3 linked regions of the Nothobranchius furzeri genome follow. The protein of the gene in region 1 interacts with the protein of each later gene in a pairwise test. Links are inferred from orthologs where the notes say so. Each region holds a gene or a part of one and is shown on either strand. Other genes may lie near its edges. The genes, in order: ankrd40, ahcy and pin1.

What was found.
Region 2: the proteins of ankrd40 (region 1) and ahcy interact in binary tests that used the Homo sapiens proteins (3 or more experiments, as listed by UniProt). The two-hybrid records come from large-scale screens. The link is inferred for Nothobranchius furzeri from reciprocal best matches to the Homo sapiens genes ANKRD40 and AHCY.
Region 3: the proteins of ankrd40 (region 1) and pin1 interact in binary tests that used the Homo sapiens proteins (3 or more experiments, as listed by UniProt). The two-hybrid records come from large-scale screens. The link is inferred for Nothobranchius furzeri from reciprocal best matches to the Homo sapiens genes ANKRD40 and PIN1.

Annotation. Positions count from the first base shown.
Region 1 is NC_091752.1:53,186,025-53,190,364, reverse strand, and holds the start of ankrd40 (ankyrin repeat domain-containing protein 40), read right to left. Parts: upstream 2,812-4,340; 5' UTR 2,598-2,811; coding exon 2,467-2,597; intron 2,162-2,466; coding exon 2,013-2,161; intron 1,843-2,012; coding exon 1,213-1,842; intron 73-1,212; coding exon 1-72.
Region 2 is NC_091743.1:74,933,152-74,936,807, forward strand, and holds part of ahcy (adenosylhomocysteinase), read right to left. Parts: intron 2,233-3,656; coding exon 2,157-2,232; intron 2,049-2,156; coding exon 1,896-2,048; intron 1-1,895. UniProt on the Homo sapiens protein: Catalyzes the hydrolysis of S-adenosyl-L-homocysteine to form adenosine and homocysteine. Binds copper ions.
Region 3 is NC_091744.1:9,176,965-9,179,818, forward strand, and holds the end of pin1 (peptidyl-prolyl cis-trans isomerase NIMA-interacting 1), read left to right. Parts: intron 1-1,603; coding exon 1,604-1,713; 3' UTR 1,714-2,328; downstream 2,329-2,854. UniProt on the Homo sapiens protein: Peptidyl-prolyl cis/trans isomerase (PPIase) that binds to and isomerizes specific phosphorylated Ser/Thr-Pro (pSer/Thr-Pro) motifs.

The sequences.
Region 1 (4,340 bases):
GGTCCAGCTCCACCTCGATGAAGTCGTTCTCTCGGGCGTTTGGGTTCTGGATTCGAACCTTCAGCACCAACTCTAAAGAAACAGAAACAGGGACACCTCTGTCAGACATCGTGTGCGGAATTGGGGAGAGAGCTGGCCTCTGGTTTTAAGTTTGTTGTGAAACTGGATCAACTCTTGTTATTCGACTGTCCTTTTTCAACAGCTGTAATTGCATTACATCGCTGTTAGGGGTGGATGATATCGTCATCGTCTTCCTCTGCTTATCCGGGTCCGGGTCGCGGAGGCAGCATCCCAACTAGGGAGCTCCAGACTGTCCTCTCCCCGGCCTTCTCCACCAGCTCCTCCGGCAGGACCCCAAGGCGTTCCCGGACCAGATTGGAGATGTAAGCGTTAAAGCTACGTGTCTCAAATGTCCCACAGGCACCTTTATTAATTTGACATTTATAATTACACAAAAATAATTTAAATTCTATTTAGAGGTGGCTCATATCCTATAATTCCTAATTTTACTACAGAAAAAACTATCATGTTAAGCTAAATTTGTGATGTGTTTGTATCTTCTACTCAGATGATCCTGCTAGTTTGCCCTCACTGCTCTCCATAGCTGTTTCCTGATTACGTGGGGGCGGGGCATGGCCTGTTTCTCCACACAGACGGGATAAACTAAACTCTGATCGGCAGCCACGGTGCAAAGGCTCGCTCAAACACAAAGTAACATCCCCAAATAATAAAAGCCACAAAGCCAAACGCAAAGTTTAGAGAAAATTGACCCAGAGGTTTCCTGATCGAGCAGATGCATGAGAATACATAACCGCTTAGAGATGGACCAAGCTAGAGGCTAGCGCTATTTGATTATGGTGTGCTTCTTCAACGACGTCTGCATCTTAATGCATCGATTATTAGATTATTTTCCTCAGCTAAACACAAACACGCTGCCTAAAACTTGCTCTTATTGGTTCATTGGTATGTCTGACAGCTATGGCCAACAGAGGCAAATGTGTGATGTGTCCAGGAATAACGGCACAAACGGGTGATATAGATCGCAAATATAGACGGTTCTACAATCTCCGAGCTTTGAAAAATCGTCATAATCCCTAATCTTACATCATCAGATCGCACAGCCCTAATCTCCATTCATATGAAGAGTCAACCACAATGCAAAAATTCCTGCATAATGAGTTATAGGAGTTAAAAATGTCACAGTAAAACCACCTTGAACGTTGACAGGGAAGGTGCTGGTGAAGAAGAAGGGCTGAAAGGCCGGCATGGGTGCATTGCCCTGGCTGTAGCTCAGCTGATGTGGAATGGACTGCTGCCTGCTCATGGTGGGGTTAGTGCTGGCCACCGGGGCCTGAACCTGGCTGCTGCTGCTGCTGCTAGCCAGTCCTGGACATGCTGCAGCCAACGAAGGGGAATTCACGGTACCGTTGTGTGCCACAACATGGGGGTAATCAGCATGACCGATCAGATGAGGCTCCACTGACAGGTCTATAGGCACGGTGCGATTAACAACAGCATGACTGTGAGACGAGGACACACCATTTTGTTCAGAATCGGGAATAAGTTCACTAGCTGGGGGTTGACCGTGGTTAACAGTAGGATTTGGTGGAGTGGAGACACCAGAGACCATACTCTGGGACCTCTGAAGCTCATCTGTTGAGGAAAGGGAAGCTGAATCACTCTGAGTGTCTTCGCTGTATTCTCTAGAGCCGTTCTGTGCATGACTCTGGATGATCTCAGACTTGTTGTCCATCTTGGAATACATGAAGGGCGGGTTGGACAGATAATTTGGGATGATTGGCAACTCAGGCTCCTTGACTTCAGGCACTTCTTCCACCTCAACTGTGAAAATATAGAGCAAAGATGATTGACACCAATGTCTGTTTTATATCTGGAAAAGTCATAAATGATGCAACACTGAGAAGTTAGTAGAGGTGTAATTCACATATCAGTAGGAACTGATAAGAAGAAAATATAAGACAACTGATTAAACAAAAAAGAAGCAGTCATACCTCCTAAGAGTTGCTTAATCTCTGGTTTGGAAGTTAACTGTGAGGCCAGCTCATCCTTAGCGGTGAGGATTTCTTTATCCGCCCCACAGCTGAGTAAGTAGGACACTATGTGCTTATGGTTCCTCTTACAAGCCCAGTGCAAGCAAGTCCTGTTGGAAAAAGACAAACTTTATTCAACAATGAGCAAAACACAGATTAAAATCTCCAGACATGTCAACAAACTAGTGGCTTATTCAGATAGAGAGTAGTAGTGAGTCTGTGTCCAACACCAATTTAAAGCCACTTCCGGTTTGGAAGAGAAAGACAAAAAGCGCGAAACAGGTTAAAACAAGCTCTGAGCTTAAAGGGATAACGCTGCCCACTTTAATCCCTGTACTGCTACACAACGCTGCCGAAAACAACTCGAATTAGTTTCGGCTTCTTTTAAGCCAGACTTCTGAACGGCAACCCTCACCATCCGTTGATTTCGTTCTGAGAGTTTACATTGACTCCACTCTCCACCAGTGACCGCACTTCGTCGATATCTCCGATGGCTGAGGCTTCTCTCAGGCGCTCCTGTAATTCTTTATCCAAAGTCGTGGACATTTTTGGCAAAGCGACTAGCGTTGTGATATCATATGATTAAATAAATGCCTAGACAACTGGTTAAGTTTGTAATTATCCAAGAATTTCCCCCAAATTGTCCCCGGCTAACCTAACCAGCTGGGCTAGCTTGGTGTTAGCTTGTAACAGCAAACTGCTTCCGCTAATCTGACTCTGAGGGCTTTCGGCCCTTAAGCAGCGACTTCTGTCCTCATCATTTACTCCTGGTGTTACCGCTCCACCAGCGTTCCTCCGTTTACTCGCTTAATCCTAACAGAGGAGACGGGGCTCCACCAGAGTGCTGTCAAACACCACCACAGCCACCTGGTCAGGGGTGGGGAATGTTAGGATGTGACAACAGAGCGAACGAATGTTAAGAGTTCCCACCCTCATCTTTCTTAAAATAACTTGTTTTCAATTTCCAATTAAAAAAAACTTTTATACTGTAAAAATGAGCGCTTTTATTTAACAAGATTAAAAATTTAAAAAAAATTGTAATAAAGAATGTATTTAATTAACACACGTGTTGCTTCCATCACGCTGGAAATGGTTGAAAGAAAATGATTCTAACTATTCAAAATAATTGTAACAATGTTTATACTTAATATAGCTATATCAGTAAGGTCTCGCCAATGTGCACCACTTAATTGTATTTATTTCGATCAAATTAATCTAACATGCTGCAGTTCTCAATCATGTCCACAGGAGGGCATTACATTCCGAACGGTTACAAGCATGGACTGGAGCCGGGGTGTTGCAGCAGATAGCCATCTTGGATAGGTCCACATTTTTTCCCCGGTGCTTTTAATTCTGTGAGCGTCCTGTCACAGTGTCTATTGAATCAATAGTATTGATCATGCGCCCTGGCTACTTGGCCAAGGGGATATCCCTTTGGCTGACTGGTTAGCACACATGACTCTCACCTGGGAGTCTGGGGATCAAATCCTGCCCGGGCCCTCGTTTCTCCACCTTGCCACATGAGGATTGTGTTTACTTAACTGAAGAAAACCCATTTTATTACGCTTTTTCACAAAATCAGAGATATAGTATGGCATGGTAATTAAAATATAACTATAATCAAACAAAATAAATTAACTAATATATTAAATCCCAACAGGTATGCTAGCAATGTCAATGGAAATTCCACATGATCTGTTTTCAGTAGTGCTCTGGTTGCTGCAGCGTAGGTTGCACAAAACACAGGCATAGTTGCCCAGCTGCATTGGCTCCAGTTTGGTTTGAAGAGTGAGGAAACTACCCAAAATGGCAGTGGTGTTTTAAGTTCGCCAGTGCCCAATCGGGTGTCAATGTATTCTTGTCTAAGATTCCAAGTAGGCCTAATTCAGAATTTTTATGTGAACATGTTTTAGATCAGGGGTGTCAAACTCATTTTAGCTCAGGGGCCACATTGCGAGAAATCTAGTCCCAAGTGGGCCGGACCGGTAAATTAAAAACAACTTCAGATTGTTTTTTTTTGTTTTAATACAACCAATATAAAACAAGGCTGGAGCCAGAGGACAGTGTATCCAAAATGGTGCAAGTGCAACACCTGAAGTGTACTTGAAAATTTGAAAAAAAAAATAATAATAATAATCAATCAATAAAAAATACATTCCTTAGTGATTAAAAGAGCTTACAGATCACATGGCTAGATCAGTTTCGTGCAGCACTTAAAATATATTTGACTCATTTTACTTTACATCTTTTAGCTTTCACCAGCACATCAATATCAGAAGTCACATCCTG
Region 2 (3,656 bases), on another chromosome or scaffold:
TTTATCTCCAAAAATAACACAAGCCTGACGGAGTTCTGCTGTGTGGTGGAGTTGCTAATGCTAACACATTCTCCCCCGTCATGAGTCAAGATGGGTGAGCCCATGAATCTTAAATGACAGAGTGACAGATCTGGCTTTTCGAATCCTAATGCAGGAGATGGGTGAATGAATCTATTTTCATGTTCACGCCTGCATGAAAAACTCAGAGTGACAGTAAAAAAAAAAACGGTTTCCCTTATGATGTATAGATATTTGGACTCTGGACGATATTCTTTATGAAGGAAAACAGATTAGGCAAAAAATGAACGAGTTCTGGTACCAGGTGAGTAATAGACTCGATAAATCCGTTATTTATACTTAGGGCTGCGCGATTAATCAAAAATTTATCGTTATCGTAATTTCTGACTAACCGATATAATTTCTCCCATGTCAATAATTTCAAATTAAAAAAATATATAAAGACGTGTAAATTGGTGACGTTCATGTCCCTTTAAGAAGCTGTACCACTTTGAGTCACATGACAACGTGACTCAATAGCCTGGTTCCTCGCTCCAGGTCCAGGACACATGGGGATAGGACATTTTCTGTTTTAGCCCCGCCCCTCTGGAACAAGTTACCTCTGAACATGAAGCTGTCTCAATCTTTGGCTGCTTTAAGAGTCGCTTGAAGACTCATTTTTATCATCTGGCTTTCATCTAACCTGTCTGGTGATTTTAATAGTTTTTATCTTTGTTTGCCATTATTGACCATTTCTTTTTTTATCCTAGTTTTATTGGTGTCTTGTTTCTATGTTTTATTTGTGCTGTGTTCAGCGCTTTGGGTCTCCCTTCAGGATGATGGAAAGCGCTTTATAAATAAAAGCCGATTGATTGTTCGAGACGAGCAGCGCCTCGCCTGGAAAAGAGACGAGAGCGACGGACGCAGCAGGAGGAATGGCTGAAAGCCGGCGTTTAAGTCTGACGCGTTTCCCTACATGTAGCGAGTGACGATGGCTGAAGATATCGCGTTAGTGTTCATAATAGTGGAAAATTCTGGTGCCCATTAGCAACTGAAACACATCCTCACATGCTTGTAGATATATTCTAGACATGTGCATCTGAAGATATGACTCTGTAGTGGTCATCATCAACCTAACATGATTTACAGATTACATATGACCATCTCACATTCTAGCACAGCATGTTTGGATCAAAATAGGAACCAATCAGATCTTCGATCAGACGAGAGCCAGGTTTTTCAGCCGACGGAAAGCAACTGCAGCGCCTTGCTCCAAATTTGAGATCACGAGGCCATCGTTGCCTACGTAGGCGTGATGTCAGAACAAGTCGGCGTAAGTCGGACACAAATCTAATCAGCATGCACTGCACACCGATCACTGGTGATGTAATCTGCATAATCTGCACAGAACTGGCTCCTATCGAACACGCCCCATCTGGCGGACGACTTTTGTTTTTGCCCACACGTGTAGTTATTGAGGTGAACTCCCCAATATACCATGATATTGATTTTAGCCCATGACGCCAGCCCTACCTATTATCTATATGGCGTCTACCTCCAGTGGTCATTGAGCAAGGCAGAGGCAGCCTGGACAGGTCTCCAGTCCATCACTGGGACACACAACCATCACACACTCACACATGCCTAGTGACGATTTAGTCTCCATTTAACCCAACATCCATGTTTTAGGACTGTGGGAGGAAATAGGAGAAACCCCACAAATATACGAGAACATGGTACCTCCACACAGAAAGGTTGCAGCTGGGATTCAATCCTGTGACCTTCTTGCTGCAAGACAACAGTGCTACCAACTGCACCACCATGCAGCCCTTCATAAACAACAATTATACAAAACACTTATAATGCAAGCAGGATCATAAGAAGAAAATGAAACCAACCTGCTAGTAGTTTGGGGTACTTCTGGTGGACCAGATTGGTGAGATCTCCTCCATCGTCCAGGATCATGTTGAGGGGCTTGTCATCTTTAAAGTACAGAGTCTGTTCGATGCACCAGATGTACTCCTCATCCGTCTCGCCCTTCCACGCGTAAACTACAGAAATGGCAACATTTACTTCCTTTTATCTCTTCTTCAGCATTTTCATTGCTTTATAGCTGCAGACTTGAAGCAATGAAGGCCTCACCAAACTTCATGTGTTACCTGGAACGCCCGATTTGGCAATGGCTGCAGCAGCGTGATCCTGAGTAGAGAAAATGTTACAGCTGGACCACTGGACCTGAAGGGGAAGAGAAGGTGTAATGAGTGTCAATTACATTTAATTAAGGACCATAAGACATTAAAAATTCATATCGAGTATGAAATCCATCTTATGGACACTGGGTTATTTAAATCAGAAGATTGGATCTTTTTATTGCAGGGACTTTAAACAACACTTTGTATTAACTGAGAGACAAGAGAAGAGAGACCTTCAAATGTTTAAGGAAATTTATTACTAAACAATTTTAAACAATTTAACAAGACTAACTCTCTAATGATGGATGCTCTGTTTGAATGAGGTGTGAGATGGTTGGTGTGTGGTGAATGAGTGTCATTCAGAACCCCCGTATCCGGAAAAACAAAGTCTGAGTGAGAGATGATGTTCTGCTCCTAACTTATCAGAGTAGCTTCATAACCACATGAGACGCCATATTGTCGCATCCACATACCCTCAGAATTGAGACCTCCGTACAGATCTGGATGCCAGGTCCACAGACCCTCCTCTGGTACTGGAGCCGATGGAACAGCGTCAACAGTACGACAAACCAGTCTTTGGATAGTCTCCAGGTAAAAAGCGACAGGTGTTTCACAGCGTCAAAAGGGGACCCTCCTTGGGTCAGCGAGTTCAGCTTTTATTCTGAAAGGTACCGTTGCTTGGTTGGTAACAACGCAACAGAATTCTCCCAGCTTGAATGGTTCTCAGCTTAAAAAGAGAAGTACAGATGGCCAGTCCAATACTTCACTTAACATACGGTGAACTTCATGGGATCTTGAGAACGAGATCTTGAGAACTGAACTTAAGATGGCGTTGGAACTGTTATATTAATCTGGATGTTTTTGATTCTGGACGAATCAAAGCTGACAGATTTATAAACACCACAGAGACTCTGCCACGCATCAGACTAGGAAGGTTCTGATTGGATCAGTACAGCAATGTGTCATGTGATTGTTTACCTCAGTGTGTCTAGTGAACTAGAATAAGTCATTTACTTATTAAAAACATTAATCATAATATTGTGATTTCACAGATCGGTCACATTGTATTATTGACTACAGTAACAGTTGTTTTGATTAGCTTTATTGAAAATAGAGTTCTTTGATTTAATAAAAGAAAAGAGTCTCTTCATCTTCTGTCTTCATTGCTGGAAAGTAAACAGTTTAGAAGCGAATGCATGACCTTGAGGCTGTTTCATGCACTCTGGCGCTGTGTCAAAGGGAACTGTGGAAAAGGTTAAATAACCTTGGAGGAATAGCTCCTTCATCACAATACAAAGGAATTAAAACAGCCAGAGTTTAGTTACCACAGGAACAAATGGATCATCAACAACCGGGGCCAAATCACCTTTACCCCTTTACCACAATCCAACTCCAGCACTCCACATGCGAGTTAAGGTTTACACGAATGCTCACCAAAACATTTATGCACAACAAGCCAAAAGCAGC
Region 3 (2,854 bases), on another chromosome or scaffold:
GTGAGCCAATAGAAAGCCTCAATTTGAGAAATTCTCTGCCTCCTAATTAGAATTCTGTGCAACTAGCTAGCTAGTGTGAATGTAGGCTTGAACTAGTTTACTAGTATACATTTATGTCCTCACTAGTTAACTAGTTTGGACAATGGATGCATCAACTAGGTAACTAGTGAGCCTGCTACAATCAACTAGCTAGCTAGTGAGTCATTAATGGTTCACTAGTTAACTAGTGGCACTGCCCTACTCCAACTACTTAACTAGTTAGGAGTTTTGCCTTCACTAGTGAACATGTGGACACTTTGAACTGTCACTAGTTAACTAGTGAGACACAAAAACCTTCAACTAGCTGACTGGTATGCATTTTAGCCCTTACTAGTTAACTAGTGAGCCATTTTTGTGTCACCTAGTTAACTAGGAAGCCAAAATGTGTTCACTAGTCAACTAGTGGGCATTTCTTCTGTCACTAGTTAACTGGTGTGCACATTTTGGCCATCACTAGTTAACTAGTGAGACACAAAAACCTTCAACTAGCTGACTGGTATGCATTTTGGCCTTTACTAGTTAACTAGTGAGCCATTTTGTGTCACCTAGTTAACTAGTGAAGCCAAAATGTGTTCACTAGTTAACTAGTGAACATTTCCGTCTCCCACTAGTTAACTGGTGGGCTCATTTTGACCCTGACTAGTTAACTAGTGAGACACAAATACCTTCAACTAGCTGACTGGTATGCATTTTGGCCTTTACTAGTTAACTAATGAGCCATTTTTGTGTCAACTAGTTAACTAGTGAAGGTCAAAATGTGTTCACTAGTTAACTAGCGTGTACAGTTTGACCCTCACTAGTTAACTAGTTGACCTGTTGACAAGATATCAGAATTAATGCTCAAGCGGCTGGCCAAATTGGGCAAAGTTAACAAGTGGGATTTTTACATTCAGTAGTCAGCTAGTACGAGTTTTTGTACCTTACTAGTTGACTAGTAAAAACTAAATGTGTTTTAACTAGTTAACTAGTGGACATTGATCTGTCCACTAGTTAACTAGTGAACACACTGAGCAATACTAGTTAACTAGTAAGATATGAAACATTTTAACTAGTTAACTAGAGAGAATTTAGGCCTTACTAGTTAACTAGTTGACATTTAGGCTGTCACTATTTAACTAGTTGACACAAACATGGCTAACTAGTTAACTAGTGGACAGAAATGGCTTACATGTTCATGACAATTCTGGCTGATATCCTGATATCAGAATAAATGCTCATTTGGCTTGCCATACTCAGGAGATCGAAACTCAGACCTCTTTTTGCTATACATTCATGTGGATGCCTTGGCTGAAGAGCACCAGTGAGAGTACCAGATAATGTTTTACACCGCTGCAGCACTTCCAGCATTTTTTCTATTTTCAACACTTTGGGGGTGTTTTTCATAAGGAAATAACAGCATAACATGGTCATAAGCTTTTAAAAACCATACCGAGAAATAAAAATTCCATTAAATATCTTAGAAAAGCTCCTACGTTGAAAACAGGTCATTAATGCAAGGTCAGAATGAAAAACTGTGAAACATACTAGGACAATTATTTTCTCTAACACAACATTTCTGTTTCAGGTCAGATGCAGAAACCTTTTGAAGACGCCTCCTTTGCTCTGAAAGTGGGAGACATGAGTGGTCCTGTTTTTACCGACTCTGGAGTCCACATCATCTTACGCACGGGCTGAATGCAACACACACACACAGCACCACCTTCTGCTCTTAGAATGACAGAAAAACAAAGGATAATTAAATGACACTGAAATGCAATGAGCGTTTCAGATATTCCTGATTACTTCAAGCTTTTAATAACCAGAAAACGGCCGGCATATATGAACATTATTGCCTGTTGTAATAAATGCCCTCCAGAAACACTCAGCAAAAATGAGCTAAAGCAAAATGCTAGAATCGGGTCGTGCATGTCAGAGTGTTATGTTTTTCTGTAACAGGTTTCATTCCTGCTGTTGGTGTGTGCCTAAGCAGTAATCTAATCTGTTTTTGTTTCTTTGGTTCTGTTTAGAAGGTTTTAAAGACAGTTAGGGTGAACAAAGTGTTATTTTACATTCTTTACTCTCATCACATGACTTTTTAGTTAAACTTTGTTTTCGGCAGAGATTCAGAAATCTTCATTTCTTTTTTTGGGTTGATAATGTGCATGGTCTGTTCCCCCCGGACTTATCAAAAGCTTGCAGGTTTTAGCGTAAAGTAAAGGCTTTTATAGCTTTAATGCTCAGATGAACTGTTACCACTGTTGTCATTGGGGAATACAAATAAAAAATAATAAAAAATCTGTTTCATTTTTATTAATTTTTTTGTCAAATTTTTTTATGTTACGTTTCAGGTTTCTAGATTCCTAAAAACATTTAATCCACACAGAAATATGCCTGAGTATTGTAACAGAAAAACAGATTGAAACAAATAAAAACAAGGGGGTTGGTGGAAAACCTTCCCAGATAGTTGTGTACTGAGTCGTCTGCTTCAGCTCTGTGATATTTTGTTAACATTTTACAAACTGAGTGTATTGTCACTTGTCTGGTTCCTGGTCCCAAATGACTTCCTTGTTGGATCTCCTCCAGCTAGTGGACCCCTCGTCCCCCAAAATAAATCACTGACATGTAAAGCGAATGACTGCTAACTGAAGCTAATTCCAGAGCAGTGGCAGATTTTTCTGAATACGGGGCCATCAAGGGGCCACGATACAGAGGGGCTAAGTATTAGTCCAACATCTTTACACAAAGTTTCCTATCTGGCTCTTTAGTGTTTGGACTTGAAATTGCATCCACTTAATTTCATTCCAGTTCAACATTATTATTGGTGCATTGAGATCAG